Elephas maximus indicus: one gene and its partners. The protein of the gene in region 2 purifies or fractionates together with the protein of the main gene of each other region. This does not show direct contact. Links are inferred from orthologs where the notes say so. Each region holds a gene or a part of one and is shown on either strand. Other genes may lie near its edges.

Region 1 (7,130 bases), on a different chromosome or scaffold from region 2:
TTTGCTTTTGAACACTTTAAAGAGGTCTTTTGCAGCAGATTTGCCCAATGCAATGAGTCTTTTGATTTCTTGACTGCTGCTTCTGTGGGTGTTGATTATGGATCCAAGTAAAACGAAATCCTTGACAACTTTGTTGGTAGGAGTGCAAATTGGTACAACCTTTCTAGAGGCCAGTTTGGCAACATAGGTAAAAAAAAATTTAAATACTCTTTGACTCAGCAGTTTCACTTCTTGAAATTTATCTTAAGGAAGTATAATCAGACAAATATACAAAGATGCTTGCATATGCATGCTCACTGTAGTGTTGTTTATGATTGCAAAAAATTGGAAATATCTTAAACACGGACCAATAGAGAAATAGTTAAATAAATTATGGTACACTATATACTGGGGCTCCATGCAGCAATTAAAAAAGATTAGGTAGGCATATTTGTACTGGCAAGGAAAGATGTCCACGATTCATTGAAAGTGGAAAAACAGTTCAGATAAAAGTAGTTGTCAGGCGATATTATTTGAATATTAAAAAAAAACAAAGTATGTAGAAAAAAATCTAGTAAGGTATATAAGTAGATCTATCTATTTTTGGAAACCCTGGCGGCGGAGTGGTTAAGTGCTATGGCTGCCAACCAAAGGGTCAGCAGTTGGAATCCGCCAGGCGCTCCTTGGAAACTTTATGGGGCAGTTCTACTCTGTCCTATAGGGTCGCTATGAGTTGGAATCGACTCAACAGCACTGGGTTTTACTGGGTATCTATTTTTAAAAGGTTTATTGAGGTATAATTTACATATTATAAAATTCACCCATTGTAAATGTACAACTCACTGATTTTTAGTGAATTTATACAGTTATGCAACCATTATCACAATCCAGTTTTAGAACCTTCTTATCACCCCAAAAAGTTCCCTCATGCTTATAGGCTTAATTTTTTGGCTTTAACAAAGAGAAGTTTATTCTCTCACCGTCTTTTAGGCTAGGTGTCCAAATTCAGGGTGTCTGCTCCAGGGGAGGCTTTCTTTCTCTGTCGGCCCTGGAGGAAGGTCCTTGTCATCAATCTTCCTCTGGTCAAGAAGATTCTCAGCACAGGAACCTCTGGTCTAAAGGACGTTCTCTGCTGCTGTCATTGTCATAGGCTTAATTTTTAACAGTGGTTAGGTTAGGGGTGGAGTTGGTGGTGGGATGGAAGGAAAGGAGAATTATAGACAGTTTTCTAGTTTATTATTTCTGTATTGCTTGAATTATTTACAAGTGTATAAAAATCCCAAAAAACTCATTGCCATTGAGTTGATTCTGACTCATAGTGACCCTACAGGACAGAGTAGAACTGCCCCATAGGGTTTCCAAGGAGCGGCTGGTAGAGTTAAACCATCAGCCTTTTGGCTAGTAGCCTAATGCTTAACCACTGTGCAACCAGGGCTCAGCAACAAGTGTATACTACCTTTTAATTTGAGAAAACAGGAGAGTTCTCCATTTTGAAAAGAACCCAAAATCTACTTCTCATATTTATTCTAAGGAAATGATCAAGTATATGGAAAAGAATTTGTGTATAAATAAATATCAAAGACATTTATCAACGTTTTACATAAAACAAAAAAAATTGTTAAGTAATCTGCCTCATGATGGAACAGAAGAATTATTAATGATACTGGAATGTAAAAAGTTCTGGGTAAAAACTTTTATATGCAGTATGACCTCATCATGTAAAAAAAAAAATTAACGTATATCCCCCCCCCAAAAAAAAAAACTTGTTTGGAAATATAATGAAATCTTACTGACGGTTATCTTTGAACGGCAGAATTACAATATCTTTGTGCGTTTCTGCATTTTCCACAATGAGCGTGCATTTTCTTTATATTTAGTCTCATTTCCATAAATGTTATCAATTAAAAATAGAGAGGTTAATTATGGTATTGTTTTTACAGGTGTATACATTTGTCAAAATGTATAAAATTGTAGATTTTAAATATTTACAGCCTATTTTTTTATTATATATTAATTATGGAGCTCTGGTGGCTCAGCGGTTAAGAGCTCAGCTGCTAACCAAAAGGTCAGCAGTTGGAATCCACCAGCCATTCCTTGGAAACCCTATGGGGCAATACCACTTTGTCCTACAGGGTCACTATGAGTTGGAGTCCAATGGATGGCAACTGGTATTATATATTAATTACACCTGAATAAAGCTGTTAAAAAAATTGGAGATTGCTTAATCTTCATAACTCTTTTACTGGAAGAGGGATTTTATTTCTATTACACCATTTTCGGGCTGGAGTAGGGCATAAAGGTTGGGAAGGAGTTGATCGACATCCTCTAAATAGCAATACTACCTCTGCCCCAGATGCTTTCATTTTTTTTGGCTTCAACAAAGAGAAATGTATTGTCTCACAGTCCAGTAGGCTTCATGTCCAAATTCAGGGCGTCAGCTCCAGGGGAAGGCTTTCTCTGTCTGTTCTGGAGGAAGGTTCTTGTCATCAATCTTCCCCTGGACTAGGAAATTCTCTGCATAGGAACCCCGGGTCCAAAGGACGGGCTCTGCTCTCAGCACTGCTGTCTTGGTGGCCAGATACCTTCACTGATGGATTGATTGATTCATTCAAAGGACCTGCCTTCCTACTACACACCAGAAATGTTATCAGGTATTTGTATACCATGATGAACAAACCACTGCTCTCAGAAAAGTTCCAATCTGGTTGGAGGAGGGGGAAGGTAGGTCACCATCTGACAGATTCCAGACAACGCCCACATCACTGCCAAGCAGACCTTGACCCCTGTGCTGCCCTAAGGGACCAGAGCAGGTCAGAAAGCAAGGGCCTTAGTAAGTAGTTCAGGTGGTCAAGAATAAATGATACCATGATTATGGCCGTGAAAGTGGCCAGAAGGTAGGTTACTCTCAAAAGAGTATCAGGGTTATCACTTGAGAAACCCACTGCCCTAGAGTCGATTGGACTCATAGCGACTTCATAGGACAGAGTAGAACTGCCCATAGAGTTTCCAAAGAGCGCCTGGTGGATTCGAACTGCCTACCTCTTGGTTAACAGCAGTAGCACTTAACCACTATGCCACCAGGGCTTTCATCACTTGAGAAGTGAGCTTAAAGAATTTTTATGTATCTAAATCTATTTATCTTACTCACACATTTATAACGTTAAGAACTAAGGTTGATCGTTTCTGGTTTACTCAGCAAAGGGCTTACATCCATTGTCTCATTTACTCCCCACCACGACCCCTCAGGCAGGGACTCTGCTACTTTTTTTCACAAATGAGAAAACTGAGACTGAGAGGTTACCTGCCAGAGGTCACAGAGCTGGAAAGCTTAGGCTCTTCAACGCCTAAGCTCCAGCCACCACATACACTCCCCTTCATTGTACTCTGGGGCCCTTTCAGGGAGGAAAAAGTCCACTTCCGGACCCCAGCCAGACTGCTCAGTTTTCGCTCTTCAATCTCAAAATTTTCCAGATGCAGATTTAACAACTGCTGGCACAACCAACAGGGTCATGCCCACTGGTGCAACTCCACCAAAACCGCGGACTGACATGGATTTGTATCTTGATGGGTAAACTCCAGGCAGCGACCCCATCCGAGCCTCCAGCGCGGGGCCAAACGCGCGTGCGCGGGGCCAGAGGGGACGCCCCTGCGCGGGCGCGCGGTGAGCGGGGCGCGCGGCCCGGTGAGCGCGCGGCCGGGGCGAGCCTCGGCGGCGTCGGCGTCGGCAGCGCGCGCTCCGGGTCGCAGCAGTGTGGGCTGGGGAGGGAGCGAGGCAGCGGCGGCGGCGCCCCAGAGCCGAGGGGACGCGCCGGCCTCGCGCCGCAGGAGCAGACGGCCGCGGAGGAGACCCCGGGCTCGGGGCCCGAGGCGGGAGAGCTCGGCCTCTCGACCGCCCACCTCAGAGGTCGCCGTGCGCTTCCCTCGCCTGGAGCGGCCGCCGCCCCTGGAGACTCGCCGTGACACGGGCCTAAGCCGCGGCCGCCGCGGGCGTCCGGGCCGCTGGGACCCCTGCCCCCGTCGGGCCGGGCCGGGCCAGGCCGGGCCGGGGGGAACGCGCGGCCGCGCAGGTGCGGCCCCCCAGGGCGGCCCGGGCCGAGGCGCCCACCGCGCTGCTCGCGCGCGGCCGGGCTCGGCGGGAGGGGCCGCCCTCGCAGCCCCCCCCGCGAGCCGGAGCCCGAGCCCAGCCGCCGCCCCGCCTTCCCCGGCGGCGGCCCGACCCGAGCGGCGGGAGCCGGAGCCCCAGCGCCCGGCGGCTCGCGCGAGACCGGAGGGAGGAGAAACTTTGCCTTTTATTGTTGTGTGTAGTCCTGAAGTGCCAGGAACTCTGTGGGAAGAATGTCCTTCTTCAATTTCCGTAAGATCTTCAAGTTGGGGAGCGAGAGGAAGAAAAAGCAGTACGAGCATGTGAAGAGGGACCTGAACCCCGAGGACTTTTGGGAAATCATAGGCGAATTGGGCGACGGAGCCTTTGGGAAAGTGTACAAGGTAAGAAGGAGGGAACGGGAAGTTGCACTTGGTGGATGAAACGGCCACTGGTCCGCGGTGGCTCGGGAGCTGCTCGCTGTCCTTGTCCCTTTTCTGTGTCTTGCCCCTTCATTTGACTTTGTAAACGTGCACTGGAACTGTGTCTAGGGTGTTATCCAAGGAGTAGCCTAGACAGTGGAGGTTAAGGTTAAACAAGGTGGGGTCTGAATATTTTTCAAGAGTGGTTGCAAAAGGGAGGCCAGATTATACGGTCTACTTTGTCAAACTTTGAAGGAAGCGAGGGCGTTCTTCAATTAAAGAGAGGCATCTGCGTTGTGTCTCTTAAATAGTTTAACATCTGAGACTCATACTTTTCATTGGATTTTGTAATGTTCGTTTACTGTTTGAATTAATACGCGTGCTTATACTAAAATAGTTCCCTTTTTTAGGGTCCAGGCCATATATTTGGTCGTATCTATAGCTGATACGGAGCCGTGGTGGCTCAGTGGTTAAGAGCTCTCGTGCTAACCACCAGTTCGGCAGTTCAAATCCACCAGCCGCTGCCTGGAAACCCTGTGGGGTAGTTCTACTCTGTCCTGTACAGTCGCTGTGAGTCGGAATCGACTCGACGGCGACGGGTGTAGCTGATACTGCCTGGCTGTCTTCCGATGAGAGCAAAATTATTGCTACTGGCAGACTTTTTTTGAGTTGGTTGCTTGACAACATACTTTAATGGAATGGAATTTCGGATAGAAGATTTCCAGAAGAAAATCTGCAAGTGGTACGAGTTTCTAAACATAATAAGCTTTGACTGGGAGTCAATGCTGATGCCTAAGAAATGAAACACACACACACATACATACATTTCTACATATTTATTTTAATAAAAAGCTGTTTGGGGTTTCAACCTGTTACCTATTTACTGTCGTCTAAGAAGCATAGGAATGATGTCATAGAAATATTTTCACCCTGAAAGGGTGAGGTTTTTCATGAGACACAGTTTAGGGGAACGGGCCATAGGGGTTGCCTAGAAGGAAAACATAAATAACTTGTGCAGTTTTTCAAGCGCTCTCACCTAATGGGGCCTCACAAAAATCCTGTGAGGTGGGCAGGTCAGTAGCAGTGTCAACATCTCACAGAGGAGGAGGACACTGAGACTCAAACTGGTCAGTCACACCAGTCAGAGCCTGGATTTGAACTCAGGTCTTCTGACCCTGTAATTAGTACTTTTTTTTTTTTTTAATTTCATGTCCATGGGTAGAAATAATAGCATTTCCCCTGCTTTCTAAGCACTGTCACACTTCTTTTTGCCCCTGCCCTGCCTCAGATGCATCTTCTCCCACCCTGGTCCTTCTCATTCTTTAGAGCTGTACTTACCTATCATCTCCGATTCCTCCAGGCAGACATATCCAGTCCTATGTTCTTTCTAACACATCTTTCATGTAGCTAGTATAGCCCTTGTCCCATATTGTCGTTAGCGTGTTTATGTTTCTGTGGTAAGGCCAGGGGCCAACACAGTCATACACGTGTGGCCACATAGACTGCCTTAGCAGATGGTGCATCTCTGTGAATTTACTGAAATGAAATAATGCGTGTTTATTATTACATGTAAATGTTACTGAAGCCATTGTATGATGCAAAAGTTGGCAAAGTAAACTTTAGTGTTTGTGTGGCGGATAGAGTCATGTGTCTCAGCAAGCACTTACCATATAGCTGTATGGTAGGAATATTCTTTTAATGTAGTGGGAAGATCAGTCCTGGGAGCCAAGCCTTGTGTTTGAGTCCTGGCTGTCACAAACCAGCTTTGTGGTCTTGGACAAAACACTTCTTTGGATTAATTTTTCTTAGCTGTTAAAATCGTAGATTTCCATAAATGTTTGTTTAGTTTCCTTCATCCTTGAACATTCTATGAGTATGCAGTTAACTAAACCCATTGCCATGGAGTCGATTCCGACTCATAGCGACCCCGTAGGACAGAGCAGAACTGCCCCATAGGGTTTCCAAGGCTGCAATCTTAAAGGAAGCAGATTGCCACCTCTTTCTCCCATGGAGTGCCTGGTGGGCTCAATCTGCAGACCTTTCGGTTACAGCCGAGCGCTTTATCCATTGAGCCAGTAGGGCTCCCTTTTATGGACTAGAGACTAATATTTTATTGTACTTTAGATGAAATTTTATAGAGCAAACTAGCTTCTCATTAAACAGTACACATTTTGTTTTATGACATTGGTTAACAACCCCACGATGTGTCAACACTCTCCCTTCTCTACCCTGGGTTCCCTATTACCAGCTTTCCTGTCCCCTCCTGCCTTCTAGTCTTCGCCCCTGGGCCAGTGTGTCCCTTTAGTCTCGTTTTGTTTTATGGGCCTGTCTAATATCTGGATGATGGGTGTACCTCAGGAGTGACTTCATTACTGAGCTGAAAGGGTGTCTGGGGGGTCATACCTTCAGGGTTTCTTCAGTCTCTGTCAGGCCAGTAAGTCTGGTCTTTTTCTGTGAGTTAGAATTTTGTTCTACATTTTTCTCCAGCTCTCTCTGGGACCCTCTATTATAATCCCCATCAGAGCAGTCAGTGGCAGTAGCCAGGCACCATCTAGTTTTACTGGACTCAGTCTGGTGGTGGCTGTTGTAGTTGTGGTCCGTTAGTCCTTTGGACTAATCTTTCCCTTGAGTCTTTAGTTTTCTTAAGT
Region 2 (7,264 bases):
CTTCGTGGCGCTCGCTGCGTCCGTGCTGAGTCTCCTGGCCATCGCGCTCGAGCGCCGCTTCACCATGGCGCACCGGGGACCCGCGCCCGCCGCCCGGCGGGGGCGCACGTTGGCGCTGGCGGCCGCCGCCTGGGGCGCGTCGCTGCTCATCGGGCTGTTGCCGGGGCTCGGTTGGAACTGCCTGGGCCGCCTAGACTCCTGCTCCACAGTGCTGCCCCTCTACGCCAAGGCCTACGTGCTCTTCTGCGTGGTCGCGTTCGTCAGCATCCTGGCCGCCATCTGTGTGCTCTATGCGCGCATCTACTGCCAGGTGCGCGCTAACTCGCGGCGCCTGCGGGCGCGACCCGGGGCTAGCGGGGGCGCCTCGGACCGGGCGCGTCGCACGCCGCGCACGCTGGCGCTGCTGCGCACGCTCAGCGTGGTGCTCCTGGCCTTCGTGGCGTGCTGGGGTCCCCTCTTCCTACTGTTGCTGCTCGACGTGGCATGCCCGGCGCGCGCCTGCCCAGTGCTCCTGCAGGCTGACCCCTTCCTGGGCCTGGCCATGGCCAATTCGCTTCTGAATCCCATTATCTACACGTTCACCAACAGCGACCTGCGCCACGCGCTCCTGCGTCTCGTCTGTTGCGGCCGTCGCCCCTGTGGCCTAGGCCAGGGTGATTCCAGGCGGCCCGGGAGCGAGGCTGGGGCTTCCGGCGGCCTGCGCCAATGGCTGCCTCCCTGCACTGATGGCAGCTCCAGCCACTCTGAGCGCTCGTCGCCCCGACGGGATGGGCTGGACACCAGCGGCTCCATTGGCAGCCCCGGCGCACCCATGGGTGCCCAGACCCTGGTGCCCATGCCCACTGCAGACTGATGCCTCAGGCCCGCCATTGCCTTCCCTAAGAGCTATTTTGCAGACTTTTTTGCTTTAAATAAAGGAACCTGTAGGAAACGCAGCCAAAGACACAGGGCAGATATATTAATTGAAGTCAAACCCTATTTATTGAGTGCCTACTGTGTGCCAAGCTCTATATTAGTCACTAGGGACACAGCAGTGAACAAAACAGACTACATCTTGCCTTTGTGGTACTGAAACTCTGGTCCAGGAAGAAATAAACGCGATAATTCCAGTAATAATACAATCATGGTGTCAGTGATGGTGGTCACCTGAACAAAGGGCACTTCAGGAGGAAGGAATTGCAGGTGCAAAGGCCCTGAGGCTGTTGTGTTCAATGAAAAGCAAGGATCCTGGTGTGTCTGACAGAGAGTTGGTGGGGGAGTGCAGGAGGAGGCAAGGGAACAGATTGTGTAGGGTCTTGTGGGGGAAGGGGAGGACTTTGGTTTTGCTCTAAATGAGATGGCAACCATGGAGGGTTCTGAACAGAGGAGCCAGGTGACCTCGCTCGGGTGTTCACAGGCTCCCTCTGGCCACTGTGGAGACAGGCTGTGGGGAATGAGGTGATGGTGCTGGCCCAGGAAAGCCATGATAGGAACACCAACCAGGCTCAGACCAAGCGGTTACCGTACAGATTTTGGAGGCAGTGAACAAAATTACCAAGGAATTGGGTATGGGGTGAAGGAAAGAAAGAAATCAAGGATGACTCCCCACTTTAGAGGCAAGGAAGCCAGGGACAGGGCACCCCAAAATTTGAGAGATTCAGCCAAATCCTGTCTGAGCACAAAATTTTCTTGAGTGCAGTGTCGATCCCTCATTATAAAAAAAATAATAATAAATTTAAAGTTAATAACATTTACAGTTTATTGACGGCACTGGGCTTTTTGGTTTAGTCGCCTTAACAAATCCTAGGCTGAGGACACACATTTGGTTTTTTTCTCACCCTTACAGCAACTTTGCAAGGTAGATTTTGTCACCTCCATTTGACAGATGAGGAAACTGAGGCTCCAAGCAGTGAGCACCTTGCTGCAGTGTTTTCAGCCGGGATTCCAGCCCAGGCAGTCAGGCTCCCAGGCCCAGGGGGCCTCAGGTCTAGCGTCTGGCTCCTCCCGACGATTCCAACCGACACTCCCAAACCCCAGGGGTCTGCATTCTCAGCCAGGGGTGCTACCAGGCCCCTTTGTGCCCATAAAAGGCTCCAGGCACGCTGGCCACAGCCCCGGCACGTCCCGAGGAGCATTCCTGACCCCTGAGTTGTCGGCGGCCGGGGGAGGGGTGGGGGGCGTCGGGTTTTCACTGTGGTGTGCCACCTGGTGGGAGGTCTCGGAACTGCAGGCAGCCAGACGGCGGTGTTTTTGCAGGGCCGGGGGCCTGTCCTGGGGACCGTCTCCGCGGGCCATACCTGGGCCGCCCCTGAAGGTTACACGCCTGAGAAACCAACCTGTTTCTTGAAATATACATACACAAGCTTGGGGGTCACAGTCCCAGGACGCTTCTGGGATTGGACCCAATTCCACCCTTGCCCTAGTGCCCCTAGTCCGGACGCTCTTCTAAACTTCCAAGGGAGTCTGGGGCCTTCCCAGACATTTCACCCCATTGTTCGATGGCGAGATGGTAGGGGACTTATTGAATTGTTTACATCTCACAAAATTGAAAAACAAACAAAAAAAACACCCATTTCCCTTTCCTGGATTCGATCTTGGGAAACTTCCAGAGCTGTCTGTGAATAAATAAGCTGAAAGGAGTTTTGATCATGTAATAATAGGTCTTGGAGATTGTTGCACGTATGCACATTTTATTCTGCTTTGTTCTTATATCTTTTTTTTTTTTCAGTTAAACATTCATAGAGTAAATGTCTAAATGTCTTGCTCCTTTTAACCGATTGCATAGTATTTCACAGCATGGCTGTAAAAGAAAAGCTGTGCCCATCACTTATTAAGCCACGTCCCCATGGAGTGACATTTGGGTTGAGTCCAATCCACACTATACACAGGGCTGCAATAAACCTCCCTGGACATAAATCCTCCTGCACGCGTATCAGTGTATCTTGGATAAATCCCTACGAATGGCACTGCTGGGTCACAGGGCGTGAAGGTTTGATTTATAGATAGGCAAGGTTGCCTTGGGGCACGTGCGAGGAGGGTGCGTGTTTCCCCACAGCCTGGGCACTCAGCGTATTCGCCGACTATGAAACAGCGCTCCCCACCCCCGCCGCCCCGGAGAGGATAGGGACTGTAGTTTCACGCAAAGGGGTTGGGGGGGAAACCCCACACCAATTTCGGGCACCAGTTTAATTTCAGATCCTGGTGGCTTACGGAATCCTTTCGTAGACCAACAGCTCTTCATTTCAGCGTCTCCCCAAACTTCATCCCCTTCTATTACTTAGTTTTCATTTAGATGGACTCCTTTTAAACTAAACTTAAACACATTTATTTAAAAGTTAACTTTGTATCATAAACGGTGCAAATGGCTGTTTCAATTATCTAGTGCTGCTATAACAGAAATAGCACAGTGGGTGTCTTTAACAAACAGAAATTAATTTTCTCACAGTTTAGGAGGCTAGGAGTCCAAATTCAGGGTGCCGGCTCTTGGAAACCCTGGTGGCCTAGTGGTTAAGTGCTACAGTGCTAACCAAAGGGTTGGCAGTTCGAATCCTCCAGTCGCTCCTAGGAAACTCTATGGGGCAGCTCTACCCTGTCCTATAGGGTCACTGTAAGTCTGAATCTACTCGACGGCACTGGGTTTGGTTTGCTTTGGCTCTAGGGGAAGGCTTTCTCTCTGTGTAGGCTCTGGAAGAAGGTCTTCGTCTTTTCTGAGCTTCCTGGGTGATCTTCATGTAGCTTGGCATCTCTCTTTCCTTTTCTGCTTGGTTGTTTAATATCTCAAAAGAGACTGACTCAAGACACACTCTACACTAATCCTGCTCATTAACATAACAAAGACAACCCATTCCCAAATGGGTTATAACCGCTAGCATAAGAGGTTAAGCTTTGCAACACATATTTTTGGAGGACACAATTCAATCCGTGATAGTGGCAAATCAGTATCCCTTGTCATGAAAAATAATTGTTCATATCTATTGGGCGCTCGCCTTCGCATTTAGTCCTTACAACAACCTAGCCGGTAAAAGGTCCTATTATTTTACCATTTTACAGGCAGGAAACTAAGAGCTGCGGGAGGCAGAGCCGGGGTTCGAACTCCGGCAGGTGAGCTTCACGCGTCTCTTAATCAGAGGTAATAAATAAAGACAACAAAATCCCAACTATGCAGGTAATTCTGGCGGGATCCTGCGTGCGCCAGAATGCGAGGCCTGTGCCGTGTGCAGTTACAGGGAGAGGAGCAGGTCGCGGACAGCAACCCTGCGCTGGGACGCTCTGGCCACGAACTCAGGATGGAGCAACAGCGCTCAGGGGGAATGGTCCCGGCGGGCCCGGAGCCCCGCTGGCCTCGGATGGGCGCCCCGCACCTGAGGGAAGGGCGGGGAATCGCGGCTCCTTCCCCACCGCGCCCTCCCCACCCTCTCCCCGCCTCCTTCCCGGGCGTCCCGAGGCTGCCCCCCACGCGACGGCGGCGACCCCGCAGGCTGCGCCGCCCCGGATCGGAGGCCCTGCGACGGCGGAGGCGCCAGCGGATCCCCGACGGCGGAGGTCAGGTAGGAGCCGCCGCGGCCCGGCCGCTGCCCTTCAGGCTTCCCGGAAGGGCCGCGCGCGCGCGGGTGGCACCGCCGTGCCCCGAGCCGCCGCGGTGACTCAGGCATCCCCACCGTCAGCGAGAGCTACGGAGGCGACGAGGAGGCCGAGATGAGCGCGGCGGCAGCGGCGGGGAGCGGTGGCCACCGGGTCCCCGGTGCGGGTTGGGGAACGCCGGGCCTCGAACTACCGGGTGTAATCCTCGCGGCTCCGGCCGCGCGGGTGGGGGCCCCCGCAGAGGACCGGTCCCCGGCCGCGCGCACGGTAATGGCCGTCTCTGTGGTGGCCTCACAGGGGCGGTGCAGCTTGGCGACCGCGGGCGGGGGCGGGAGGTGGCCGCTCTCGCGTTCCCGCGGCGCCGCCAGAGGCCCGGGCCGCGGGGACTTTTATTCTGACACGGCGGGCCCCGGCTCTGCTTAGTCATGGTGACCTGCGCGCTCCGCGCCTCCCCCCGCCGCGCGGCGATGGAGGCGCCGGGGCCCCGGCGGCGGAGGCGGAGCCCGAGCGCGGCCATGGCGGGGTGAGTGAGGCGACCTGTGCCCGGGCTGCGGGCACCGCGGGCCGCGAGCGCCCGAGCGACCGTGCCTGAGGAGCGGGGAGCGGGGCGTCGCAGGCCAGGGCGCCTCGGGGTTCCCCGCGGCCTGGAACGGCCAGGAGACGGGTCCGGGGTCCGATCCTTTTGTTGGACTGCACGACCCTTGGGTTGGCCCGAGAGGAAAGAAAACAGGGCGGGAGGCTCAGGGAGCGCCGATCGCACGGAGGCGCGGGGACCCCGAGGCGTTGGGGGGACCCGTTCCATCCTCTGGGGCTGGCAGGCGAGAGGCCGCGGCGGGGTCACTTCCTGCCTTCTCCAAGTCTTGGTGGCGGCCCATGCGGGGCATGCGCAGTCCGCACTGGGCGCTTCGTTGGGGGAGTGCCCGGTGGCCAGGGGGCACCAGTGATCGATTGGCCGAAGGTGGAGAGGCAGTCGGTACGGGAGAGGGAGCCAAGCTGCGCCCTGGGTCCGGGTGGAAGAGGGCGCAGTGGGGTGGGCAGGCAGCCAGACGGCCCCGTGTTTACTGAGCCCTGCGCAGTGTCAGGCCCGGGGCAGGACGTGGGGGTGGCACGGCGGGGGAAGGCACAGCAGTGATCTAGACAGGGGCCCCCCCGGCCTGCCGGAGCGCTGAGGCTGTGTGTGAGAAGGATGGCCAATTCCTCAACAACAAGCCATGGAGATCCTTTCAGTTCCTGACAAGTGCTGTGATGAAAATGCATGAGGGAGGTGGTGACTGCATTTCAATGAGGAGGAGAACCTAGCCGCCCCTTGCAGATTCACCCCCCACCCTCCAGGCCAGCTAGTGTGGAAACCTTTCAAAACACATCGCAGACCTGGCCCTCTGCGACCTTGGGCTTTATGCAAGCCCAGCTCCTTGTCTCCCACCATACTCTCAGCAGCTTTACTCCTCCTCCTGGATTCTCCAGGTTTCCGCTCCAGCCTTACTGATTTTATTTATGGTCCTTTCCTCCCCTAATGTCAGCTCCACAGAGGGCAGGGGGTTTTGTCTGTCTTGCCCACTGCTGTGTCCCCAGTGCCTAGAACAGTACCTGGCACACAGTAGGCACTCAATAAGTGTTTGTGAGGTGAATAAAGGAATGATCTTGGCGTGCTGTAGGAAGGGCATGCTCCAGATGGCTGGGACAGAGAGAGCAAAGGGAAGAGGCTGCAGGGGCTGACCGGGCCTCTGAGGAGTTCGGTTTCATTCTTAGTGTCTTGGGGAGTTGTCAGAGGATTCTGAGCAGGGGAGGGACATGGCCTGACCTAGGTTTTAAGATGGGCCCTTGGGCTGGTAAGGCTGGGGACAATTAGGAAGCTGGAATGAATGCTGCTCTATCTGGTTCCCTCGGGAAGGAAAGCTGATCTGAGAATGGCTTTATCTTACAAAAGGAGGCCTGGCCGGTGCTGGCCCAGCCCCAGGCCCTGCCCCCAGCCCTGTGCTCTCCTCCTCCAGGGCCCTGAGTGCCAGTGGTGGTGTTGTCCCTCATCGCCAGGAGCCTCATGCAGCTGGAACCCAAGCCTAGCAGGGCTGGGGCCCACAGCCGATTCCTGCCCCTGCAGTCGCAGTGCCCCGAGGGGGCAGGGGACGCAGTGATGTATGCCTCTACCGAGTGTAAGGCCGAGGTGACGCCCTCCCAGCATGGCAACCGCACCTTCAGCTACACACTGGAGGACCACACCAAACAGGCCTTCGGGATCATGAACGAGCTGCGGCTCAGCCAGCAGCTCTGTGACGTCACCCTGCAGGTCAAGTATGAGGATGCGCCAGCTGCCCAGTTCATGGCCCACAAGGTGGTGCTGGCCTCATCCAGCCCTGTCTTTAAGGCCATGTTCACCAACGGGCTGCGGGAGCAGGGCATGGAGGTGGTATCCATCGAGGGCATCCACCCCAAGGTCATGGAGCGCCTCATTGAGTTCGCCTACACGGCTTCCATCTCCATGGGCGAGAAATGTGTGCTCCACGTCATGAACGGCGCTGTCATGTACCAGATTGACAGCGTCGTCCGTGCCTGCAGTGACTTCCTGGTGCAGCAGCTGGACCCCAGCAACGCCATCGGCATTGCCAACTTCGCTGAGCAGATCGGCTGTGCTGAGCTGCACCAGCGCGCCCGCGAGTACATCTACATGCATTTCGGGGAGGTGAGCGTGGAGGAAGGTGCCTGGAAT
Region 3 (7,445 bases), on a different chromosome or scaffold from region 2:
ATAGGCATGATAATTAGAAGTAATGAAAGCAATTTCTTTAGTTACTCCACCTTTAAACTACACTTCACTGTGAGATTTATCCTTTTGAAATTGGTAACGATTACCCAATCCTGTTCATTGAAGCTTTAGAAAAACGCTCTCATTACTCTGGGGCAACTTCACACATGGAAAAAAAAGCAAACAGTGTGCATGTAAGAAAGGTTCCTAACAGAAGACATATCATTTTAAAATCACTTTATCCAAAAAGGCATTTAAAAGTAAAATTATGCATTTTATTCATTCATTCCATCAGCTGAGAATTGATCTATTGTACAAATACAGAAATGTACAAAAATCACAAAATGTTACAAAATAAAAAAGTACAAACTGCATTACTTAATAAATATGACCAAAATAGTTAATGTGGAAATGAGATAGATTTCAGGTTGGTAACATTGTTTGACCCAGCAAACCATATAAGCTCTGCTTACAAACATTTTTATATAATACAGGGCAATCCTATTTTGCCTTGAGAATATTAAGACAATATTCTCCTGCTATAAAATAACTGCCAAAGTTGGAGGCATTTATGCTATTAGTTTTTAAATACCTTGGGTGAATCCAAGTAGCTATACAAAGCAGGAGGCTTATCTTGTCACAAAGTTTTATACCATGTGAAAATCCTTCTATAACAAAATGACAAATACAAACTGAGAGCACCAGACAATCTACTTAAACATCAACCAGAGTACAGAAGAATCACTCTGCCATCTGCAAATCTCTGACTCTCATTCAAGTAAGTGCTGGTACTACCCCTAAAAAAAAAAAAAAAAAAATCTCCCCGCAACGTTCCCTTAAGTACTTCTTTAAAAGACTGACCATTTCTAGAAAAATAAAGATCCCAAAACGACAAATCTGTTTCCGTTTAAACAAAATGGAATGGGCCAATAATCTGATAACATGAACTCATCGATACCTATCTGAAATAATTATCTAAGAATTGTAAAATCCAAATTTCAACAACATAAAATAACTATTAAATCACAAACTCTGTTCAAAACGATAGACTTCATATAAAGCACTTCTCTGGAATTATGCCTGAAAGCTGTTTGTCAAAACGGAACACGTCACAGATGAAGGTACACCAATTTTTAAAAGTGTTGTGCAAAAATACATTTTTATAGAAAATAGACTGCCAGGAATGAACGAATTTACACTGTGAGAAATTAGCTTGCAAATCAAGTAGTGCTAACTTTATACAGCAAATTATAAATAGCAGTAGGATTACCCAAAGCTCTCATAAAACATCATTTAGGTGCCCAGCAATCTTCAGCTCTGGGGAGAAAACAGGAAAAAAAAAAAAAAAAACCAAGATTAAGGCATTACATCTACAGTACATCTACGAGGAAGTTTAAAAGTGCTATTACTCTGAGTTCGTGTAATTCTCCAAACACAAGCTACTTAGGCAATTTTCCCAGGGTGTTGGTTTTCAAACATTTCAAGAGCATGCATTTTGTTCAATATACATTTTGGATAGAGATATTGCCATGGATTTGGCAAGCTCTTCATCGCGTTTTCTTTGCACTTGAGTTTGTTTGCACCAATTGTCATACTCCGGGTTAGGGTATGAGTGATCAAATACCGCATCATAGTGTCCATTGCTGAGCCAACTGAGCCAAATACTAGGCCTTAGGGAATCCTCGGGGCCCAAATAGTGGATCATGGTAGACACGGTGGGGCTCTCCAACCTCCCTCCTGTCGTTAAATGTATATTCACATTCAGCATCTGTCCCATCGCCAGCAGTTCGGGGTACCCGGCCCACGCCCCGTCTTGGGCCGCGGCGATGAGAAACTCCCCCACGTCCCCCTCGATCAGGGGGCTGAAGTGGTCGAGATGATCAGCGATGTAGTGCACCGTCTGTTCCCTCAGCTCCCGGTGCAGGCTCTGGTTTCCGTACACCGTCTTGCTGACCGCTCGGTAGAGGCAATTGCCGTCGGGAATGATGTGAAATCGGTACTTATTCCTCTGTCGCAGGTACTTGTCCTGCTTCTCCACCTCCGCCAGGTACAGGGCCAGTTTCTCGTCTCTGGGATCCGACCTGGCGACGATTCCCGCCTCCGCCGCGCTTCTCTGGGCGCCCTCGCCGCCCCTCGTGGGGGGCGCCTCGGCCTCCGGGTCGGGCCGCCGCGCCTCGTCCGCGCCCGCAGAGTCGCCGCCCGTCTCCCAGCCCCGGGGGCTCCTCTCCGCCGGGTGCTCCTCGCTCCACAAGCCGGGGCCAGGCTCCGGGCTCCCCGGGGGCGGCCCGGGGCCTCGGTGCTTGGCGGCCGCCAGGGCCTGGCGGTGCTCGCTCAGTCGGAAGTTTCTGTCGGGCCCGTCCCGGGCCGCGTCCAGGCCGGCGGGCTCGGGGCCGTCGGGCCTCAGCAGCTCCTCCAGCAGCCAGGCGGAGGAGCCCCGGCGCGGCGGGACCGGGGCGCCGGGCGTCGGGGCCAGCAGGAGGCAGCGGCCGCGCGGGGCGGCGGCGGGCGCCGGGGCGCCGGGCTCGGGCCCGTGCAGAAGCAGCCTGTCGGCGCCGAGGGCCCGCACGGTGATCTGCGCCGTGGACGTGTAGTGCGGCGGCAGCGGCGGCTTGCAGGACCCGCCGGCCGGGCTGGCGGCGACGGCCGAGGCGGGGGCGGCGGCCCCGGACACCATCTCGAAGCAGGAGGAGAAGGCGGGCATCTTGGCGGCGGCGGCGGCGGCGGCGGCTTCCCTGGGCTCGGCGGCCGCGGCGGGCTGGCACTCACCGGTCTCGGGCTCTGGCGCGCTGCTGGCGGGTCCCGGCGGCTGCAAGGAGACCTTGAAGGGGGCGGCGGCGGCGGGCGCGGCGGCGGCTGCGGCCGTGGGACCCGGTGCCCCGGCTGGGTAGTGGGTGCAGACGCTGCTGTAGAGCTGCATCTCCCTACCCGCCGCTCAACCCTTATAGGCGCAGCGAGCCCCCGTGCGGGGACACACCCTCCGGGCCAGGGGGAGGGGGCCGGTCGCTGCCGGCCGAGAGCTATGACCCAGTGCCCCGAGAATAGCGATGAGCGAAGGGCCACCAGCAGCCTCCTGCAGAGCGTCAAGAACCGCAAATAGCGCCCGGGTCCCCGCCAAATTCCTGCTGCGCCACAGCGTGCGGTGGGGGCGGGGAGGCGACGCGCGCTCGACCCCTGCCGGCGCACTCGGCCCGCAGACCCGGGGCACCGTGCCCGCTCCCCTCGCTCCGGCCCGCGGCGGGCGCTGGGGACTGTCGGAGGAAGCCGCCCGCCCCGCTGGAGCGCGTCCCGCTGGCGAGAAGCAGTGCAGGGCGCGCGGAGGGGGCCGGGGGCGGAGCCGCGGCTTGTTTACCTCAGACCGCGCGGCCGGGTCACGTGGCCCCGCTGGAATGTGCGGCTCGTCGCTGCGCCCCATTCACTCGCTAGGGTTCGCCCCGCCCCCTCCGGCCCGCGCCCGCCTGCCGCTGGGCGTACGTCACGGGCGTGGCCGGCTGAGCTCGCCGCGCTCTGGCGGGCCGGGTGGCGGGCGCGCGCGCGGGGCCTCGGGCGGGGGAGCGCTAAGGCTTAATGGCCTGCTCGGCCGTGGGCTTCCTGGTCGGAGCCCGGGTGACTGCTGCGGAGCGCTTCGCCTGCCACAGCCACAGGTTTCCGCGCTGTACCGCTCTCGGCGGACTGGCGGGATAGGCGCTGTCTGGGGCAAGCTAGAGTGCTTTGAAAGCGTGCTTTTCGGAGAGGCTTCCGAACTCGGTGTGGAGGACAGAGCTGCCTTAAACGTGTTTGTCCCCTGCAGGTTCCTGGGCTATCACTCCTGCTTGCGTTCACCACTGTCGTCTTTTTGACCTAGTTTCTTGGGTAAAAACGCTAAAGCCTCGTGGTTCCCCCCGCCCGCCTAGGGTGTTTCTGCCCTGCAGAAACGAAACTAACTTTGCGGCTTGTCTAACTCCTACCAGTCAGCTGGCGCGTTCTTTGGTCGAAAGGAAGCCCTTAAAACAGCCTTTCTTTTAATCTTTTTAAAGTGTGCAGTCGCACTCATAGGTTATGGACGGGTAGAGTGAGTCGTGAATTGGATCCTGAAGAGGGAGTACCCGGAAAAAAAAACAGTAGGATATTGAAAACATTTTTACTGAACTATCTTAGTATTGCCCTCTTTGTAAAAGAATATTCATATTTTCAAAGCTTTGACCAAATGCTAAATAAAAAAAAAAAAAAAACCCGGTACCCTCCAGTGGATTCCGACTTCACAGCGGCCCTATAGGACAGAGTAGAACTGCCCCATGGAGTTTCCAAGGGCTGCCTGGTGAATTTGAACTGCCAGCCTTTTGGGTAGCAGCCAAAGCAGTTAACCACCATGCCACCAGGATTTCCAAATGTTAAATCAGCAGGGTCTAAAAAGTTCAAATTGGACCTGGAGATTATGTCACCATCAAAAAAAGAAAAAAAAGATCTCAGTGGAGCCCACACCAATTTCTGGCGACCTCATGTATGTCAGAGTGGACCTGTACTCCATAGGGCTTTCAATGGCTGATTTTTCATGTTCGGTAAAAGCTACTGAAAAATAATATCAACTCCCAACCCAGAAAACCTTTCCACAAAACTAGAAATAGACAAGTTTTATTGTTGAATAAGCATTACACCACAATGTGATCATCACAAGCAATCTGCTAAAGAGATTGCAAAGACGGAAAGGAATCTGGCCCTTTATATAGCTAAGCGGATGCAACTCATTGCATATATGTTTTCAAGATAACTTTGTTAATTTTCTAGTCTCTTCATGACAGGACAGAGATTTGCAGTTTGGGGCTGGGCCACCTGAGGTAATTTAATGTTAATCTCCTTCCAGGAAACAGGCTGCTAGGGAAGGATCACCTGCAGTTATAATTCAGAGAGGTAGCTGCCAGATCCTGGAGGAGGCAGGTTTACATACTTTTCAAAGAGACAAAGAAAGAATTTACGATTTATCTAAAGTAAATTCTGGGAGAATGAGGGAGGACGGGAACCTCTTCCCTTATATTCAACAAGAAGAATTAAAACCTCTTACTTCAATTTGTATTTTTCTTAAATGTTTTTTAAGTAGATCACCAGGCCTTTTTTTCCCAGGCTCCTCTGCGTGAGCTTGAACCTCCAACCGTTCAGTTAGCAGCTGACTTGTTAATTGATTGCACCACCCATGGACTCTGTCCCACCATTTTAGAGATGAAGAAGAAACTGAGCCTGTAGGTCATGGTATGGGTCCCTCTCCCCACGCCCTTCTGCTAGAATGTAAATTCCACGAGCAGAAATACCTTCTCTTGTCCACTATTACATTTTCATCCCTGAGCACAGTGCCTGGCACATAGTTGGAGTTCATTAATATTTACTGAATAAATGGGAACCTAGTTTCGCAAGACTTCTGTTAGTGGGGAAGCCAGAACTACAATCCAAGTCTACCACCCTACCAGGGCTTTCTATTTGCTATGGGAGGTAGGATTGGCAGGATCCCGGCAACAGCGGTTTGCTCAGGTCACTCCAACCTTGTAGGTAAATCAACTCAAGAGAAGGCAAAACAACTGTCCAACCACCTTTTCAAGTTTTGGTGACTAACCCCACTGGAAGCCCGTAGTCAGTCCCATCGCTAACTAGAAAAGGGAATTTACTTAGATTCCATCACGGGTTTGTTGATTATCTGTTGCTCTGTGCAGTTTTTTTTTTTTTTTTCTGTGCAGTAAGCTCTTCAAACTGAACTCCACCTGTAGCCATAGCCAATGTACTAAAACAGAAGACAATACTAATAACAATAAGATAATCCTCAAATACTATTTACTGAGTACTCATTGTGTACATAGCACAGCTTGCACAACAGGAGGCTTTAAATCCCTAAAGCAAGAATGTGTTTTAACAGGTTGGGATAAACACGGAAAAAAATAACACAACCTTTAGTATGGATTACGCCTCAACATAAAAAAAAAAAATCCTCACAACTCGACCAATAAGCAACATCAGAATAAACAGAGAAAAAATTGAAGTTTTCAAGGATTTCATTTTATTTGAATCCACAATCAACACCCATGGAAGCAGCGGTCAAAAATCAAATGACGTATTGCATTGGGCAAATCTGTTGCAAAAGACCTATTTCAAGTGTTAAAAAGTAAAGATGTCACTGTGAGAGGACTAAGGCACACCTGACCCAAGCCATGGTGTTTTCAGTTGCCTCACATGCATGTGAAAGCTAGGCAATGAATAAGGAAGACCAAAGAAGAATTGATGCCTTTGAATCATGGTGTTGGCAAAGAATATTGAATATAACGTGGACTGCCAGAAGAATGAACAAATCTGTCTTGGAAGAATGCTCCTTAGAAGCCAGGATGGCGAGGCTTTGTCTCAGCATAATTTGGACATGTTATCAGGAGGGACCATTCCCTGGAGAACAATATCAATGAAAGATAGGAAGACCCTCAATGAGATGGATTAACACAGTGGCTGCAATGATGGGCTCAAGCATAGCAACGATTGTTGAGTCAGAGCTGACTCGCCGGCACCTAACGACAAGGTACACAGAAGCCAAGCTAAGTATGATATGCTAAATTAGAAACAGCATTTAAACGAAGATGGGAAGATTCAAAACTCTAAAATACATAAAGGCTTCTTTTTTTTTTCCTTTTTAGTTAGTGTGGGGGGGGTAGGTTGTGCAACAATGCATATTCACTCTGGCAGTCAGTATTCACTCTATATCTAAATCAGGAAAGTTTCCAGAAGGAGGTGATACTTCAGGAAACCTTCAGAGTAGGAATCATTGCCAACCTTGGAAACAGGAGATTGTTTCGCACCTTTGGAAGCTAAGAGAAAGCAAGGTCTTGCAAGTGATAGTAAAGAGTGGAAAAGAAAGGGAGACGAATATGATTCCTAAACAATCTCCTCATTATTCCATCTGAAGAGAATTACTAATGATTCCATTCTGGAGAATCATTTGTCCAGCGTATTTTAGTACTGTGCAAAAATTTGGTGGAAGTTTATAGAATACTAAATGATAATTGCATAGTAAATGAATGTTGTTGTTTTTAGGTGCTATGGAGTTGATTCCAACTCATAGCGACCCTACGTACAACAGAACAAAACACTGCCCACTTCTGTGCCATCCTCGCAGTCGTTGCTATGTTTGGGCCCATTGTTGAAGCCACTGTGTCAGTCCATCTTGTTGAGGGTCTCCCTCTTTTGTGCTGACCCTGTATTTTATCAAGCACAATGTCCTTCTTCAGGGAACAGACCCTCCTGACAACATGTCCAAAGTATGTGAGACAAAGTCTCACCATTCTTGCTTCTAATGAGCATTCTGGCTGTACTTCTTCCAAGACAGATTTTTTTCATTTTGGCAGTCCACACTATATTCAATATTTTTTGCCAACACGATAATTCAAAGGCATTAATTCTTCTTAGGTCTTTCTTATTCATTGTCCAGCTTTCATATGCATATGTGG
Region 4 (7,629 bases), on a different chromosome or scaffold from region 2:
CTCTGCCCAGCAGGGTGCCTGCTCCCTTGGCCGCGCCGCCTTTTCCCCTCCGCCTCCCAGGTGCGGGGGGAGGGCGCGGGAGCTGGCTCGCTTGGGCTGGGTCTCCTCCCGCTGCAGCCTCCCAGGCGCCGGGACCTTGTTTCTTCGCCTAGGCTCAAAGTCTTCCACCCGTCCTCCCATGCAATCCAAGTCATCCACCCCATAACCTTTGACTCTGCCGGCGCCCTCCGCCAGGACCTGAGCGCACCAGGGTCCGAATCCTGACTTCGACCACCGCGGCCATGGCCCAGGTGCGGTGGCGGCGGCCACTGAGGATCGCGACTTCGGCCCCCTCCCTTTCAGTCACCTTTCTCGTCAGCTCCCTGAGAAATTGCTTCCTCGGAAAGCCCTTTGGCGCAGGGCTCTTAGGGTAAATTAACTGCAAGAAGACGGGTTTTTGCATTAACTGGCTATGTGACCTTGGGCAAATCGAGCAACCTTTCTGAGGTGTCTTATCTGCTGCCTAAGTTAATAGAATTTGAGATGAGAGGGTGGTCATTAGAATAATAGCTGCAAAAGGGCTTCACACAAAAGGGCTTCACACTTTAGGGGCTATTATAAATGCCCCCAGGAGAGGTAACACATTAAAGTGTTATTAGTCGTTTCCCATTTACACTTTAGTGTGAATGAATTTATATTTATTTATTCAACAAACTTCTCAGCAGAGACCTACTGTGTCCTAGGGTCTGTAGAAATGGAGTGGAGTCCAAGAAACTGACTGCCTGAGGGGTGGGAAAGGGTTGATGCCCAGAGCCAGAGAGTCCAAAGATTAAAAAAATAATAATAAGTTTTAAATAATTCGTGGAGTGTCAGTGATGAAGAAAGGAGGGCCGAGGGCAGAGCAGGCAGGGTTGTGTTTTGAGTGTTGCCAGATCGGGGAGAGGTGGGGACTTGGGGGGGGGGGCATATGGAAGGCTGCTTCCAGGACTTCACACTTGGGAGGCCTCATGACCAGGCTTAGGATTGTAGGCGTTGTTATCATGGCTAAAGGAAGAGAGGCAGGGGTCCAGATGCATTTTAATCAACAAAGAATAAATATATAAAGGAGGGTGGTATTTTATTTTTTGCTCAACCCTAAAGAGTGGTTAAGGAGCCCTGGTGGCACAGTAGTTAAAGTAATTGACTGCTAACCAAAAAGGTCGATGGTTCGAAACCACCAGGTGCTCGGTGGGAGAAAGATGTGGCAGTGTGCTTTCCACAGAGATTTACAGCTTGGAAACCCTATGGGGTCACTATGAGTCAGAATCAACTCCAAGCTTGGCAGTGGGTTCTTTGGTTTGAAAGAGTGGTTAGAAATTTCCATGAGATGAAGCCGAGGGAGGAGGGATGTGGGAAAGAGAGGGATGGTGGGAAGAGCCCTGAACTGGGAGTCAGAAAGCCCAGTGCTAGTCTTAGTTATAAAATACTAGCTCCGGGACCTTGGGCAAATGACCCAGTGTTTCTGAGCCTCAGTTTCCTTAGCAGAAACACTGGAGCTCAAAAGCCACCCTTTTTCCTCCCAGGGCTGTTTTGAAAATCCAGTGAGATACTTATGCAAAGTAGACAAATGTGAGGAATTTTTAATGTACTTGAGACCAGTTCCCTTTGATGGAAATGAATTAGAATCCATTTTCTTTTGAACCTGGGAGTGAAGGTAGACCTAGCCGTTAGAAACTGCTTTTGTTAAAATAATCCCTTTCAGAATGTTAGTTGGGGGTGGTTTAAAAAAAAAAAAAAAACAGAGAAGATGACAGTTGGAGGTTTATTTCTTCATGCCAAGCACATAGTAGGTCCTTAGTAAGTGTGTATGGATTCTCCTTCATAATACTAATGGATGGGGTAGGAGAGTGTATACATTGTCTATTTGCATTGCACATGCAGACAGGTTGTGCCTCAAAATTCCAGGCAGCTGTAAGACTGCTAGGAATGAGACACATAGAACCACTGGCATCAACCATTCTTTGGGTGCTGTGTTTATCTGTGATCAAGCCAGACCCACAAGACATTTAAATCCATTGCTGTGGAATTGATTCCAACTCATAGCAACCCTATAGGACAGAGTAAAACTGCCCCAGAGGGTTTCCAACTGCTATCCTTTTGGTTGGCAACTGAGCTCTTAACCATTGCACCATCAGGGCTCCATTGTTTCCAGAATGCAAACGAAAACAACAGAATCTCCAAGGGGAAATGCTTGCCCTTCCCCAAATTACCCATATCCATTTTTTTATTCTTATGTCGCTGGGCAGGCGCTCTGTGGTTCAAGTCAGACGCTGTTTTTACATCCACCACCACACTGCCCTGCCGGAGGCTTCTGCTCTGCTGCTGGGCCTTACCTCTCTGGTGGGAAGACCCCTGCACAGGATCTCCCAAGCCTCTGCCACTGGGCCCTTCTTCTTCTTCTTTTTTTTAATGATTTTTATTGTGCTTTAAGTGAAAGTTTACAAATCAAGTCAGTCTCACATAAAAACTTACATGCACCTTGCTACATACTCCCAATTACTCTCCCCCTCATGAGACAAAAAAAAAAAAAAAAATTTTTTTTTTTTTTTAATGAGACAGCCTGCTCTCTCCCTCCACTCTCTCTTTTCATGTCTATTTCGCCAGCTTCTAACCCCCTCCACCCTCTCATCTCCCCTCCAGGCAGGAGATGCCAACATAGTCTCAAGTGTCCACCTGATCCAAGAAGCTCACTCCTCACCAGCATCCCTCTCCAACCCATTGTCCAGTCCAATCCACGTCTGAAGAGTTGGCTTCAGGAATGGTTCCTGTCCTGGGCCAACAGAAGCTCTGGGGGCCATGACCACTGGGGTCCTTCCAGTCTCATACCATTAAGTCTGGTCTTTTTATGAGAATTGGGGTCAGCATCCCACTGCTTTCCTGCTCCCTCAGGGGTACTCTGTTGTGTTCCCTGTCAGGGCAGTCATCAGTTGTAGCCAGGCACCATCTAGTTCTTCTGGTCTCAGGATGATGTAGTCTCTGGTTCATGTGGCGCTTTCTGTCTCTTGGGCTCGCAATTACCTGTGTCCTTGATGTTCTTCATTCTCCTTTGATCCAGGTGGCTTGAGACCAATTGATGCTTCTTAGATGGCTGCTTGCTAGCGTTTAAGACCCCAGATGGCCATTGGGCCCTTCTAAGTCTCTGCCACTGGCTCTCACCATACCACCCAGGCTTGCACTGTCTGAGGGCCTGTGTGGCTCCTGCCACACTGCTCAAGGGGGGTGGGAAGTGTGTGTAGCCCTTGTACAGGGCATACTCAGGCCTCTCTTGCCCTGCACAAGTAAGCTTTACAGTTCTTCTGGCTCCCCGGACAGGCGTCCTGCTCAAAGGTGCTCAGCTATTGCTCAGTGGGCCAGCAAGCCTACTGCCTGTCTCTCACTGTCTTCAGTGTTACAGTTCTTTCTTCTGGGTCTAGGAGGTTCTTGGTGCAAGGACCCTGGGTCCTTGGTTCAAAGGATGTACTGTGCTCCAGATTCTTCTTGAACCTCTGTGGGATTGACCCTTATATAAGCCTAAACCAGAAACCAAATCCACTGCCATCCAGTGGATTCCAAATCATAGCAACCCTACAGGACAGAGAAGAACTGCCCCATAGTGTTTCCAAGGCTGTAAACCTTCACAGAAGCAGACTACCACATTTTTCTCCCATGGAGTAGCTGGTGGCTTCAAACCTCTGACCTATCAGTTAGTAGCCAACAGCTGCCAGGGCTCTCTTTATATGAGCCTATGTCAATTTCAACAAATGACCCTCCCATCAGGACCACAAGCTGCCAATCACCTCAGTAGACCATAAATCATTGAGTTTGCATAGTTCTAGCCAATCGTTCTGTGGGATTTACAAAACCGTGCCCTTAGAAAGGCCATATAAAAGCCATTCTTTACACCTCAGAGAGGTAGGAAGGATTAGCGGTAGGGGAGGGAGTCTATGCTTCTGACCAGCCAGGGATGCATCTGTGTGGGTGACTGTGTGTATAAACACGTGTGTCCAGCAATTGGAGAGAAAGTGCAAGTCAGCACCTGCATCTGTGTGTCTGTGCATGTTTTTATATTTGGGGGCTAGCCGAGGACACACCTGAGTATGTGGTGTCCCTGCTCTACCACTGACAGCCTTTTTGAACCTCCTGGGTCTTAATTTCCACATCTAAGAAGGGCGATATATGATGTCTGGCATTTGATTTTAGATACTCGAGCCAAATACAACAAAAGATATTGGTGGGTAGACACGAAACAAAATTAGCTGTGAGTTGATAATTGCTTAAACTAGAATGATGGGAGCTCATTATACTGTTCTCTACTTTTGTACATGTTTGCAATTTTCCTTAATATACTTTTTAAAACAAGGGGGGGCGGGGATTAATAGTACCTTCCTCATACAGTTACTGTGAAGACCAAAAAAGTTACAACTAGTAACAGCTACAGCAGCATCATAAGTTTTACTAGGCACTTATGAGTTTTTTTTTTTTTTATGGGGTACCAGGCACCCAATACAGTGCCTGGTGTATTCCTTCCGACTCTTATGTGTGTCTGTAGGCCAATGCCCGCACTTGCCTACAAGTAGGGGAATCCCTCGCCTCCCTGCAAACTCCTCCCCTTTCTCTCCGCCCTCCACAGCCCCTCCCTCCGAGGAAGAGCTGGGCTCGGGCCCAGCAGGTGTGGGGTTAAGGGAGCCTGTTTGGGGCCCCAAGATCAGCAGCAGCAACTGCAACAGCCGTGGCGGCTGTGGCAGGCCTGGCCCCCGGCCAAGTGGCCGGGAGCCCCAGGAAGGAGGGAAGAAGGGAGGGGGAAGAGGGAAAGGAGGCGGAGGAGAGAAGCAGTCAGCAGGCCCGAGGAGGCAGGACTTCCTGGTGTGGGGGTTGTCAACAGCCCAGAAGGGGAAAGACAGAGACCAAGAGCGAGAGGAGCTGAGGAGCAGAGACAGAACCAGCGTTGCCACGCGGGAGGAGACTTGGGACAGCCATTCGCCAAGACCACCGACGCCAGCTGCCCCAGGGGGAGGCTTTCCATTTGGAAGAGCGGCGGGCGAGCCGCCCCCTCCCAAATTGGTTGGGAGACGCCTGGGGCTTCAGAGGCCGAGCCTAGGCTCCATCCTAGAGGTTCCTTGCTTTTCTGGAGAGCAAACTTTCCCCGGAGATGCCTTGTGGGGTGAGGTGCGGCCCCCGAAGAGGACTGGGCAGCCTGTGATCGCCGCCTGCTCTCGGCGCTGTGGGGGCCGGAGGCACCAGGGGAAGGACAGCCTGACACCTTAGCCAGGACCCCCAGCTCGGCCTGAGAGGTAGGACTCTGGGCTGGGCGGGGCGCTGGGGCGGGGGTAGGGGTGGGGGGCAGGGCATGCTTGGCGGCCCCAGCCCCCTGGATGTGGGAGCTGGTATGGGGTCTTGAGGCCAGGCCGAGGAGCTGCTTCACCTCTGTTCACCTGGGCCACGGAGCCCTTGCCTTAGGGACTTTCGGGCCCTGTGAATTGTAATCCAAGGCAAGAAGTGCCAAACTTTGGGGCATGTCTGCCTCTTCCTGCTCCGTGCGCCCTCTGGGATCGCAGCCTTCCGCGCTCTGATCTCTGCCATCTCTGCCAGACTCTTTGTCTCTGGGTCTCTGGTGGTTTCCCCTTCCTCCCCACCCCCCCGCCCCACATCATGCTCCCCAGAGAGGAAGCCCCAGAGGTGGCCTGCCCACTGCTTTCTCTCTCTCACACACAATATAGGCACATACACTCCCTCACTCACTCTCTCTCTCTCTCTCTCTTTCCAGTTTGCAAACTCAGCTGTGGAGTTCGATAGCGACAGCAGCAGGAAAAACCTGCCCTTTCCACCCCCCCTTCCCTACCCTGTTCTCCCTTCACCAACCAGGCACCCCCAGCTCCCCAAGACCCTCCTGCCATGTCGGACCCAGATGTCCCCAGGGGCTCTGATGTCCCCGCCATGTGGCCTCCCTGTTCCAGGGGCGCCTGAGCCTCTGCGAGGAGCCCCAGCCGCCCCCGCCCACCTCGGCCTAGTCCTGAGTCCCAGGGACTATGAGTGGGGGCAAGAAGAAGAGTAGTTTCCAAATCACCAGCGTCACCACGGACTATGAGGGCCCAGGGAGCCCGGGGGGTGCAGACTCCCCTACCCCACCGGCCCCCACCAGGCCCCCACTCCGGCTGCCCAACGGGGAGCCCAACCCTGAGCCAGGGGGCAAGGGCACCCCCCGGAACGGCTCCCCACCGCCTGGGGCCCCCGCTTCCCGTTTCCGGGTGGTAAAGCTGCCCCAGGGTCTGGGAGAGCCTTATCGCCGAGGTCGGTGGACGTGTGTGGATGTTTACGATAGAGACCTGGAGCCCCCTAACTTCGGCCGCCTACTGGAGGGAATTCGAGGGGCCTCGGGGGGCACTGGAGGCAGGTCATTGGATTCCAGGTTGGAGGTGGCCAGCTTGGGCCTGGGCACCCCCACCCCACAGCCAGGCCTGTCTCAGGGCCCCACCTCCTGGCTCCGCCCGCCCCCCACCTCACCCGGACCTCAGGCCCGCTCCTTAACCAGAGGGCTGGGCCAGATGGCGGTAACCGGCAAGGCAATGGTGGAAACATCCCCCCTGTCGGCCTCCCCGCCCCAGCAGCGCCCCCCAGAGCCTGGGACCCGGGATAGCGAGGGCACATCCCGGGCCCCCACCCCCCTGCCCTCCCTGAGGGTGGAAGTGGAGCCTAGGAATTCAGCAGCGGGGACTCCTCCACTGTCCCGAAGGAATGATGGAGCCCTGCAGCTGAGGATGGAGTTGGTGGCTCCAGAGGAGACAGGGCAGGTAAGAGCAGGTCCCAGGGTGAAGGAGACACCTGGGGGGCAGTGCTCATCCATCTCAGTCTTGGCCTAACTTCCATCCTGGGCCTCCTGCCTCCACCTCCATACTGCCTTCCGTCCTCACTCCATTATCCTCTATCTGCTCAGTAGCCTCTCCTTTCTCTTCCTGCCACCTCACTTTGAGGTCCATTCCTACTCCTTACCGCACTTTGTTTTCTCTCAGGTTCCCCCTCCACTGTGTTCTGCATTTTCTATCCCTTTGGTTTTAATTTGTTGCCTTTGTCCCTCATCTCTGTGGTCCAGTTCTAGCCTCTCCACCTCTCTGTGGCTTCCTCACTTTGGCCTTCACCTTATCTTGGTCTCACTCCTTCCCCCCAACTCCAGGAGTTGAGGGTGGAGGCCCCAGTAGGGCTGGGCAGTTGGGCCTCTGAGGAAGGAGCTTCCAGGGTTTTGGGGGATAGGAGCAAAAAGTAAGCATTCCACTGTAAGCCGTTTTCTCCATGGCAGCCCCATTCTGCATGTGGGGTCTTCTGTCTTCTCCACTAGCCCCCATCTGAGCCCCATTTTCATCTATGAATAAAGTCAAGTTTCTCTTCCTGAAGAATTGGGTTCGGGGGCACATTATAGGAATAGGGGGCTTGCTAGTTTCCCTTCTCCACCCCCAGTTCCGTAGGTCTCTCCAGGGGGTGGCCACCATTGAGTGCTACCTTCCTTGGGAGAAGGTGGAAAGCAGCTGAGAAAGAGTTAAGTCATCTGCTCTTTCTGCTTCCGGTCTCCAAAAGAGGAACAAACCAGGGGGAGGCCAGGATGCCTGGGTCCCTGGGGGGGGGGCAACTAGGGATGTGGGG

The links.
Region 1: the proteins of KEAP1 (region 2) and SLK purify together in Homo sapiens (affinity purification with western blotting; 3 studies listed by BioGRID and IntAct, with this or other methods). This does not show direct contact. The link is inferred for Elephas maximus indicus from reciprocal best matches to the Homo sapiens genes KEAP1 and SLK.
Region 3: the proteins of KEAP1 (region 2) and OTUD1 purify together in Homo sapiens (affinity purification with western blotting; 3 studies listed by BioGRID, with this or other methods). This does not show direct contact. The link is inferred for Elephas maximus indicus from reciprocal best matches to the Homo sapiens genes KEAP1 and OTUD1.
Region 4: the proteins of KEAP1 (region 2) and TSC22D4 purify together in Homo sapiens (affinity purification with mass spectrometry; 4 studies listed by BioGRID and IntAct, counting the BioPlex papers as one, with this or other methods). This does not show direct contact. The link is inferred for Elephas maximus indicus from reciprocal best matches to the Homo sapiens genes KEAP1 and TSC22D4.

Annotation. Positions count from the first base shown.
Region 1 is NC_064834.1:55,422,032-55,429,161, forward strand, and holds the start of SLK (STE20-like serine/threonine-protein kinase), read left to right. Parts: upstream 1-4,129; 5' UTR 4,130-4,314; coding exon 4,315-4,464; intron 4,465-7,130. UniProt on the Homo sapiens protein: Mediates apoptosis and actin stress fiber dissolution.
Region 2 is NC_064821.1:28,571,495-28,578,758, reverse strand, and holds the start of KEAP1 (kelch-like ECH-associated protein 1), read left to right. Parts: upstream 1-4,250; 5' UTR 4,251-4,526; intron 4,527-4,993; exon of another isoform or gene 4,994-5,083; intron 5,084-5,469; exon of another isoform or gene 5,470-5,533; intron 5,534-6,551; 5' UTR 6,552-6,598; coding exon 6,599-7,237; intron 7,238-7,264. Other genes in the region: S1PR5 (sphingosine 1-phosphate receptor 5), read left to right, coding at 1-853. UniProt on the Homo sapiens protein: Substrate-specific adapter of a BCR (BTB-CUL3-RBX1) E3 ubiquitin ligase complex that regulates the response to oxidative stress by targeting NFE2L2/NRF2 for ubiquitination.
Region 3 is NC_064822.1:32,368,399-32,375,843, forward strand, and holds OTUD1 (OTU domain-containing protein 1), read right to left. Parts: upstream 3,012-7,445; 5' UTR 2,915-3,011; coding exon 1,478-2,914; 3' UTR 274-1,477; downstream 1-273. UniProt on the Homo sapiens protein: Deubiquitinating enzyme that specifically hydrolyzes 'Lys-63'-linked polyubiquitin to monoubiquitin.
Region 4 is NC_064830.1:91,887,608-91,895,236, reverse strand, and holds the start of TSC22D4 (TSC22 domain family protein 4), read left to right. Parts: upstream 1-4,620; 5' UTR 4,621-5,288; intron 5,289-5,761; 5' UTR 5,762-6,023; coding exon 6,024-6,785; intron 6,786-7,629.